Linked DNA regions of Schizosaccharomyces pombe. Changing the gene in region 1 together with any one later gene gives a genetic interaction. Each region holds a gene or a part of one and is shown on either strand. Other genes may lie near its edges.

Region 1 (3,243 bases):
AAACTTTGCTTATTCAAAATCCTGACTCATTTGTTCACGTGAAGGGTGACGTTACGGAGGTTGGAAAAGCTAGTATCGAAACTGCTATTAAAAAGTTTGGAAAATTGGACTCGGTTATTCTAAATGCAGGTGTCCTTGAACCTATAGCCAAAATCGCTGATGCAGATATCAATGAATGGCGTAAGTTGTTTGATATCAACTTTTTCAGTGTGGTTGAAACAGTGAAGTATGCAATCCCGCATTTGCGTAAAACCAAGGGTACTATTGTGATTGTATCCTCTGGCGCTGCTGTTCGTGTTTTTCCCGCGTGGGCTGCATATTGTTGCTCAAAGGCCGCCATCAACATGCTAGTCATGAACCTTGGCAGCGAGGAGCCTGATATAATGAGTGTGGCAGTACGTCCGGGAGTTGTTGATACCCCTATGCAAGTTAGTATCCGTAATGATTCCAATAAAGAAGCCATGGGTGGAGATACTCATAATTTTTTCAAAGAACTTAAAACATCCGGTCAACTTGTGGCTCCTCAGGACATCGCCAAAGCTCTTTCTTTTCTAGCCTTGAATAACAATCCAAAGCTTACTGGTCAATTCGTAGAATGGAAATCATTTGTCTAGATGTTCTATAGTTTATTGAATTTCGGAGTTAGAGGCTACAATTGTTCGTTTAAATAAAACAAAATGAATAAATTAAACATTACATCAAATAAAAGTAGCTGAAAATAGTCCCAAAAAATGATCATGATTACTAATATTGATAAACAAAGCTGCAACAACATCTCAATCATTCATTAATGGTGACTATTCTAATTGGGTATCGTTGTCTTGGGCGACAAAAGCATCATCAGCTGTATCTTGAACATATGGATCTCCGCTCGTCAAATTCACTAATGAATTGGAAGATGGACCAGTAAATAATGAAGCATTAGAGTCCGAACCATTTTCAACAGCAATTTCATTAATCCAACCACGACGTCGAACCTTGACGGATCTGTGTTTTCCTAGAGTTTTAAGATACGATATTGAGTCATCAAACGTGGCTCTTGGATATAACTCATGAGTCCATATATGATACATTCCCAATAGTTGTTTTAAGTCTTTTGCCTCATGACCCTTTCCTTTTAACTTAACTTTGCGCATCATTTTCCTTAATTTTGGAATTCCATTTTCAGAAATCAATCTAAATAGGGAAAACGAGTGGTCAATAATTATTTTCCGAAAACCGACCAAATTCTTACCTTTCTTCATCAAATTTTGCCAACCGTTTGCGAGGTTTTTTTACAGAATCTGGATTTTCTTCTAACCCTAAATCAAATTCTTTTTCTTCTTCATTCTTTTTCACCTCTTCCCTTTTGTTTTCCTCGACGAGTTTTTCAACACCTGAATCAGAAGCAGCTGTAGACATTTCTTATGGTGTTTTTTTAAAATATATATTTGCTTGTATGTTTCGCAAAAGAGAGTTAGTGAATGCAATAAATATCGATTTGCTTGCTGTTTCGCTTCAAAAGTTCTGTTAATCTAGCAATTTTTCTATGTACTATTGACTTTACTGCTAATGAAAAGCGAATAGAACCTTTCAAATTTAACTGCGCAGCAAGAAAGGTTTATAATTTACTAATGAAAGAAAATTCCTTATTTAACGCGGATTAGAAATGTGTAGAGGAAGAATAGTTCAGAAGGCTCATGTTACACCTGGACTATATACTTTTATAAAATTTTGTTAAGAATGCTCATAAATTATAGCTAATTTTTGGAATTGTGATAGACGTATTTGAGTGATAGTGCTCGCTGCTAATACTAGTATAACAATTCTCAACGTAATCATTTTTGAATCGTTTCGGAAAGCATAATAAAGCAACTTTTACCCTTTCTCTTTCAATTAACATACTTTCCTTCAAATTTCTTGCATTCGTGTAGATTTCTTTTTTTGAATAAGTGTTTGTCATTAAAGGTTTAGGCAATGGCTTCTAGATATCGTGTTGAGTATGCGTTAAAGCAACATCGGAAGGACGATTTTATTGAATGGATTAAAGGTTTGTTGTCAGTTCCTTTTGTTTTACAGGCAGGAACCCCTTCACAGAAACTAGTAACGCGCGAAAAAGAGCAGGAAACGCTTGAGCGTTACGCTGTAATTTTAAGAGATGTGGAAAAACTTATTGAGGCTCATAGTAAGTTTCCCCTTCATTCTTTTAATTTTCTAACCTTTCTCATTGATAGTTCAAATAGTTTCAGAAGGTGGATCCTATAGCCAGTTAAAGATGCTTGTTCCATCGATCACCATATTTTGGACACCTTTGCCATTAGTGAAAGCTATGTACGCGTTGGAACCAAAGCTTTGTCTAGCTAAACGAAGCTTTGTGGCACCGAGTTTTAACGATGTCAGGGCAATATTAGGAGGTGCTCAATTGAATTACCTTGCGGATAATGGCTTGGATATGGTCAGTTTTGATGGAGATGTAACTCTGTACGAAGATGGGCAGCCTTTGCTTCCTGACAATCCTGTTATATCCCGTTTGATTCAGTTACTTTCGAGGGGGATCTATGTCATCATTCTTACTGCTGCTGGCTATCCCAGTCGTACTGGCCAGGAGTATACTGATAGATTTTCAGGATTATTGCAGGCAATCGAAGACAGCGACTTGAAGGATGGGCAGAAACGGAAACTTCATGTATTAGGAGGCGAGAGCAATTACTTATTTGCTTATGACCCACTGCATGGTTTACAATGGGTGGATGCTGACTCATGGATGCTTCCCGTGATGAAAACATGGCCTCATGATGAGATTCTCGAAATTTTGGATACTGCTGAAGAAACTCTTCGTTCTTGCATTCAAGGACTTAACATTGATGCAAAAATAGTTCGTAAAGAAAGATCAGTTGGATTTGTACCTTCCCTTGGTCAAAAACTGAGAAGGGAGCAACTGGAGGAAGCTGTTTTGGAGACACAAGCAACGTTGCAGATACGAAATTTCTCAGTTCCTTTTACTGCTTTCAATGGTGGAAATGATATTTGGTGTGATATTGGTGACAAGAAATTGGGTGTTTTATGCCTTCAGCATTTTTTTAATATTTCCCATCCTTCTCGCTGTCTGCATGTTGGTGATCAATTCTTGTCAGCTGGTAACAATGATTATAAAGCGGTAAGTTTGAAATAAACTTTTGTTGAAGATTACTAACCACCTATTCAAAGAGAGCTGCTGCTACCACTGTTTGGGTATCCAGCCCCCACGAGACGATTGAGTTTTTA
Region 2 (7,199 bases), on another chromosome or scaffold:
ATAGTAAAGGAAGTAATAATCGACTAACATAGAGTAAAAATCAACCATGGGCATGTGGTGTAGATGGTTATCACGCTTCCTTAGCATGGAAGAGGTCCCAGATTCGAGTTCTGGCTTGTCCAAAATTTTTAATAAATAATGTGTTGGTCACGCAATATGAAACTGGAAATTTGATATTCGTACTAACATACGAACGAAAATAAAACACTTTCTATTTTCTGAAATTTTTACTTCAGAAAGATATTTTCGGGGGTATTCATGAATCAATAACTTTTGACAACATAAATACAATATAATTCGATCACTAAAAAATAACTTCTGTTTATTTACAGTTGCTAGTATTCCACTCTTTTTCGTTTGTTTATTTACACATTATTTTCCTTTAACTCAGAATTGCGTTAAATGATTCTTTTCGAATGTATAATTGCAGCAATGTTGATTTGTTTATTATTTTTGTTTACAACATTATACTTGGTTGTCTTTAGTAAATCTTGCCTCCTTATTGGTTACAAGTCAAACATCCATTGTAAATAGTGAGTAATTGGTGTTGTTTATTTAGGCTTAGTTCAAAGGCTTAGCTAAGGATATTATTACTATTCAGTTAATCTAAATCCTTTGTTATTTGAGCTATTTATCCAGGATGCAAATGGTTAGCGAAAGCTTTTATTTTTAAATGATCATCTTTTAGTAATATTAAATGTTTACTTAACACTTTTTTAAGCAAATGTTAGGTGAGCATCAAATTATCATTCGATGTTTGTTTATTGTGAGGGATTTCATAAATTATTAGTTATGATAAAACAATGTGTTAATATAAACGAAATGAATTGTTTTTTAATATAAATAACCCAAGGTTGAACATGTTTTACCCAACCTTTGTATACACTTCAAGAGATTGAACACGATCTCTAATTACTGAGTTATCCAACTGGCAATCACTCAAGCCTCAAAAGAGCCAAGTAACTTCGTAATGAACAGTAAAATTGCTTATCCAGAGATTAAAATATCAGGTGCCTTTCGTCCTGATAAAATACAGGAAAAGGGAAAAAGTAACCGATGTGATACTCACTGCTCTGGTAGCTCTTGGACAAGTTTTAAATCAAAGATCCTAAAAATTTGCGCTCCTCTCTGCTGTATGGGTTCTGATAACGATGAAAGCATGGCAGAAATGCCATTAGAACCCCAAGTTGAGCCAAAATCAATAGAGAACAATTATACTTTAAAAAAAAAAAATGAAGAAGGCTTCTTAAGTCAACAGGAAAATAAGTCTTCAAACCAAAATCCTTCAAAGGCTAATAACCTTTTCGACAAGCTCGGCGTAAGCAAGCCAATAACATTCATAGCTTGTATACTGCAATTGGGCGGCACCTCTTTTATGGAATCAGAACTCCAGACGAAACTTTCAACTATTAATAGCTCGCCGTTTAAAAGTTTATCCCAATACTGGAATGCTGCATACAATAAAAAGGAATCAATATCATCTTCAACGAATAGTAACATCAAATTACATTTGGCAGCTCGTAAATACCAAACAAAACCTGAAAAATTTAACGAAAATTCTTCCATTAGTCAGGTTACATCCGCAATAAAAGCAACAAAGGCATTTTCGCATTTAACTCAACCGAAGAGGGCACTATTGAAAGAAAGCAATACGGGAGATAAAGATATATTTAAGCCTCGGTATCCACAGCTTCTAAGCTGTAGATTTACAACCTTGAGCAAATTGGCGCCAATTAATAATTCCAAATCAGCACCTAAAGGTACCCACAAACCGAACCACTCAGAAAATGCTGAATTAAAAGATATAAAACAGAGCTCTGAGCTTTCTGACTTATCACTATCTTCACAGATTTTATATCCCGAATCCACGACTTTAAGTGAAATATCGCCGATATATGATTCTGAATTAGCAATTGAAAATATACTCGAATCTAAGTGCTTTGAAAATGAACAAGCCATAATAGAAGGAGTAAAAGATTTTACCGAATTTCCCGACCTAGAAGAAACACAGATTATATATTCCGACCTCATCGCTTCCAGTGAAGTATCGCCAATATATGATTCTGAATTGAAATATGAAAGTGTACTCGAATCCAAAAGCTCTAGAAACGAACAGGCTACAATAAAAGAAAAAAAAGATAATGAAAGGGTCCTCGACTTGTCACAGCAATGCACAAAGTTTCTTTTCAGTGACCAAAAGGTTATTACCCCAAGCTTTTGCAAATTTGCCCAAGTATCAGACATGTGCTCTACTGAAATTCCTTGGGTAAACTTCTTTTGTGATAACCTAGATATATGTATCGAAGATGTTCAATTCAAGAGTAAAGCCTTTTTTCCACCTACAGTAACTATTACCATCTTTGAGCACGAAGATAAAAACTTGATGAATGTCTTCGATACTAAAAATGGAACATCAAAAACATTAGTGAAACCTCAAATAACTAATAGCTGCCTTGAAAATATGCTATCACTTGTAAACAAGAACAGCTGTATTAAAAGGCTTCACTTAAAGTTGTCTAAAGGGATAATGGACATCAAGGTATTAACTCATCAGCTAATGCTATATGATCTTTATCCTCCTGCTCACCAAACATATCTATGGAAAGCATTAGAACGACTAGTGAATGAAAAGGTGAGTTTAGGAGAACTAACACCTGTTCACAAAGTAGCAGCCGAAAAGAGAATAGGAGACATCCGGATGCATTTAATTGAATCTTCGGATATATACGTTGTTACTGAAAATCATCGCTGGCTACATATCGTGTGTGAGGGCTTTAACTGTTTCTTAGAGCTTCCCGAAGTACTTCACGGAAAGAAGTTTTTAAAAGTAGATGAGGCTACAAGAGAAGACATGTTAATGTCTGCAGAGACTCCAGACGATATTTTATGGATAACTACATTGATAAGTACTGGTTCATCGATGTCACATTTTCCTTTGCATGCTTACCTGGAAGCCAAAGAGAGACAAGAATTCACAAAAAAGAACCTTTTACTATTTTGTAAAGAAGATGAGTTTTTATACTCCGACCAAGAAAATGAAGACCTTTTAGAATCGTTTGAAAGAGTTATTTCAGAAGAGTTATCCCTTTTAAAATCAAATGAGCCGTCAGATATCTCACTAAAAAAGAGAAAAAGAAGAAAGAATTGTGAGAAAAGAATATTGGGTACAATGATGTATTAAACGGCATGGCCAGTCGGAAGAACTATCCTTATGCTAATAATATATCTTCAGCATTCGCAACCATTGATATTTGCTTGACAAAGCGTTAATAATCCTATTCCCTAGGATATCATTTGTACTACCACAAAATTGAAAATAAATTCACAACGAAGTCAAACAACAGGTTTCTTTTACAAACGAACTGGCACGACCTTTCAAAAGATGTGCAATTAATTTTGTGAAACATCTGTAAGAACAATCGGCTTCCCTATTGAACTGACAACGTTCTTTCACATGGATTAGTATATGAAATCCCTATGATAAAGACATACTTTAAAAAATTTTCTCCATTCAAGAGGATCCCCATTACGCTTTATAAAGTTTATAAGCTCTAAGTTATGGCCTAAATTAGTTAGTTCAATAACACCTTGCAAGAGACATTTCCGTTTATCATGTAAATTAACATAAAGGATGGTCTGATTTCGAACATATTTCATAGTCACTGAGATTGCAAGTAGTCGTAGACTGTCATAAAGATGATCTATAATGGTTTCTCTCGACGCCCTAGAATAAAACCTAGTGAGTCTTTCAGGAGGACAAATTTCGTAGAAATTCTTAGCCTTTTTGGCCTTTTTCATATAGTTAGAAAAAATTTAGGTTTAAATAAATAATACCAATCTTTTAATAAAACCTTCATTCTCACAAAACTGACTCAATGAGGGGTCTTTTTCAAGGATTTCAGTAACGTCAATATTTTTATTAAGTTGTACTGGCTGGGATAAGGCGCCATAAACTTCTACACGATCCAACTCCTTTTGGTCATTTTTTTTAAAAGCTGGCTGTGTCATTGAAAAACCGCTATCGCTAATTGAAAGAGTTAGAAATATGAAACAACTGTGCAAGATCTTACTTTTGAGATGCTCTAGATGAGGCAAGACGTGGTTTATCTAAATCAATACGAAGTTTCAACATGAGCCTTGATGCCAATGCTACAGGATCGGCACAATTCCCATTTTTAGTTCGAAATGGTGTACTTGAGGTAAGCCATGGGTGCTGTACAACATGTTTGACAGAGTAGCGCTTAAATGGATCACTTCGAAGCATTCCGGTGATAATCGCTGATCATTAGTTTAAAGGAATTTCAGTCAGGACTTACAATAGGCTCCTGGAGACAACAAGTTCCATGGGTGGTAAGACGGGCGTTCACATTGTTTTTTATAAAGCAAGTAGTCACCAGTGTTGCTAATTGCTTCATCCCAAGGTGTGTTGCCTAATAACAAAGCAAAAAGAATTATACCGCAGGACCAGACATCAACTTTTGAACCATCATACTGCTGTGTAATTTCTGGAGCAGCGTATGGTGGACTACCCACTGGACTATTCAAAAGCCTACTTTTACCTTTATAGGAAAATAAAGATGCAAAGCCGAAGTCTGAAATCTTTAAGTTACCATTGTAATCTAAAAGGATGTTCTCAGGTTTCAAGTCTCGATGCGCGACACCTTTAGAGTGCATGAAGGAAATACCTTCCATAAGTTGAGCAAAATAAAACTGAGCGACGTCCTCATCAATACCTACATCAGGCTCTAAATTGTAAGTCCGTTAGTAAAAACGAAAGGTTCATGCACCCACCTATTTTGTCAAATAAGTCACCACCTTGAGCAAATTCAAGTACTACCCATCTCCATTGGGGATTTTCTGCTGTATTATAAAAATGAATGATATTTTTATGTCCATTGCATAGTTTGTGAAGTTGTATTTCACTAGCCATCCTTCTAGCCCATACCCCTGCATTCATACAACTAGTAGCATGTTTTTTATTGACAAATTTGACAGCATATATTTTAGCATTATCATCGTAACATAAACGGACGCTTGCTTAAGTTAGTATATAGTATTTTTCAAATCAAAATTCATACGAAGCAAAAGCCCCAGTACCTATTTCTCTACCAATATGGTAAGGAAAGTTATCTAATTTTTGAGCCATTCTTTGGTGTAAAGGGAAAGAAGATTATAATATAACACAAGCATATGTTGCAAATTTTGGCATGTGTATTATTTACAGTCTTAACATCATCAAAGACTGGAAAAGATTAAATTAAGGTAATTTTTAAATGAGTTTTAAATCTATATAATGATATAAAATTGGACTATAATTTGATATCCGGTTTTCGTTTACTTGTGTACATTAGCACATGTTGTGTTGTGTTTATAACTTACTCTCCTACCACCACGTACTCATTGAGAAACTACAGTAACAACTTGAGGAATGGATTCTGATATGCAAAACCAGAACCCTCATACTAATTCTAAAAACTCTTCTTCTGCTGGCATGGCTGTTGACGGTCATAGCGTTACAAAACGGTAAAAAATAAACAGTTTTTAGGAAAAAAGTCTCTAATGCATTTGTAGATTGAGAAGCGAATTAATGAGTTTAATGGTTTGTAATAAGCTTTTTTACTTTGTTATTAACTAGGGTTTTATGACTAGATGTCCAATACTCCTGGAATTAGTGCGTTTCCAGATTCTGATTCTAACCTGCTACATTGGGCTGGCACAATTACCGGCCCAAGCGATACGGTATGACTTTTATTTTGAAAGCTTAATATTTAAAGTATATGAATAATGCTTGGTGTGCTTACTTGTAGCTGCACTTTAATGGAAAATTAATACACATCTTTGTCATTACATTTTCATAACTGTCTACTCTTCTTTCTTCTTTTTCATACGACTAACGTAACGAAAATAGTACTATGAAGGATTGAAATTTAAAATTTCAATGTCATTTCCAGCTAATTACCCATATTCCCCTCCAACTATCATTTTTACTTCACCAATGTGGCACCCCAATGTCGATATGAGTGGAAACATATGTTTAGACATTTTAAAAGATAAATGGTCAGCAGTCTATAACGTACAGACAATTTTGTTATCTCTACAAAGTCTGCTGGGTGAGCCAAACAATGCTTCTCCCTTGAATGCTCAGTATGTTGAAAATATCTCATTTACCTTTTTTGATTATTAACAATTCTTAGAGCTGCAGAATTGTGGAGTAAAGACCCTATCGAGTACAAACGTCTTTTAATGCAGAGATATAAAGAAATCGATGAAATTTAGTTAGGCCGGTCTATTTCATACTCATTTTCATTTCTGTTTAGTCATATGGATTTTCTTTTCCTATTCAATGCTTGAAAAAATGTCTTTAGTTAAACTTTCTTCATTGATAATGGAAGTTGAAATTATTTCATCTCATCGATTAAGCAATTCCTTCATGCAATGCCACAACCTCCTGAAAACCACCGAATGGTTTTTTAAGGACCGTCTATCATTATTTAGTTCCAGAAGTTGAAGTTGTTATTATGATGCTCGATTAAAGCTATTCTTGTTTAATGCATTCCGTTAATGCAGTCGTTTTTTTAGCTTTCCGTTAGATTATAATACTATTTTATTATTATTGATTCTCAATGTCATTGTGTTATGTATTATCGCAAGACAAGTATCAATGTTATGTTGTGCCTGAATTTTTTTCTGATTAGTAATAGGACTGTATATACAGCCTAATATTTGTATTTCTAATTTTGAGCCTTTAATCCTTATGAAGCCGTATAGTGAAGTATCTTTTCAGTCTCAGAGCATTTTATAGAGTTGCTGAAATTTACACGTCATTTAAAAATTTAAGAGTTTTACCAATTATTATTACAAAAGATTTGTATTTAATTACAAAAGAAAAACTGATTAGAAAATTGAACATTTAAACTGATAGCTGAATAAGCTACTAAAACTGGCTGTTTATATGCTACCAAGAGCATACCTGCGAATGACTAGTACACCAAAGAATCTTGAAAAACAGCCGATTAACTTCGACAATCTCCCCTTGTATTTACAAGGAACCAATTACGGAGAAAATGTGCTTAGAAGTGACCCACGATGGCTGAAATGGGAGAAGTATTTACGAGAGTTTGACATGACAAGGGAGGGCAATGTAACAAATACGCCGAAAGCCATTCCATCTTCATGGAATCCCAACGATAAGTCAGATT

Evidence for each region.
Region 2: mutations in swi3 (region 1) and chk1 impair growth when combined (synthetic growth defect), as found in Schizosaccharomyces pombe (3 studies listed by BioGRID, with this or other methods).

What each region holds. Positions count from the first base shown.
Region 1 is NC_003423.3:3,090,127-3,093,369, forward strand, and holds swi3 (replication fork protection complex subunit Swi3), read right to left. Parts: upstream 1,731-3,243; 5' UTR 1,402-1,730; coding exon 1,235-1,401; exon of another isoform or gene 1,177-1,234; coding exon 798-1,176; 3' UTR 733-797; downstream 1-732. Other genes in the region: SPOM_SPBC30D10.05C (sepiapterin reductase), read left to right, coding at 1-614; isn1 (IMP 5'-nucleotidase), read left to right, coding at 1,957-2,164, 2,214-3,136, 3,187-3,243. UniProt on the Schizosaccharomyces pombe protein: Forms a fork protection complex (FPC) with swi1. FPC coordinates leading and lagging strand synthesis and moves with the replication fork. It is required for programmed fork-pausing which is necessary for mating-type switching.
Region 2 is NC_003421.2:1,057,967-1,065,165, reverse strand, and holds chk1 (protein kinase Chk1), read right to left. Parts: upstream 5,371-7,199; 5' UTR 5,147-5,370; coding exon 5,079-5,146; intron 5,034-5,078; coding exon 4,792-5,033; exon of another isoform or gene 4,746-4,791; coding exon 4,317-4,745; exon of another isoform or gene 4,279-4,316; coding exon 4,071-4,278; exon of another isoform or gene 4,025-4,070; coding exon 3,835-4,024; intron 3,790-3,834; coding exon 3,493-3,789; exon of another isoform or gene 3,448-3,492; coding exon 3,391-3,447; 3' UTR 3,182-3,390; coding exon of another isoform or gene 971-3,181; 3' UTR 723-970; downstream 1-722. Other genes in the region: protein Meu27, read left to right, coding at 971-3,181; ubiquitin-conjugating enzyme E2-C Ubc11, read left to right, coding at 5,429-5,523, 5,572-5,599, 5,650-5,739, 5,909-6,144, 6,195-6,276; gid1 (putative Ran GTPase binding protein), read left to right, coding at 6,977-7,199.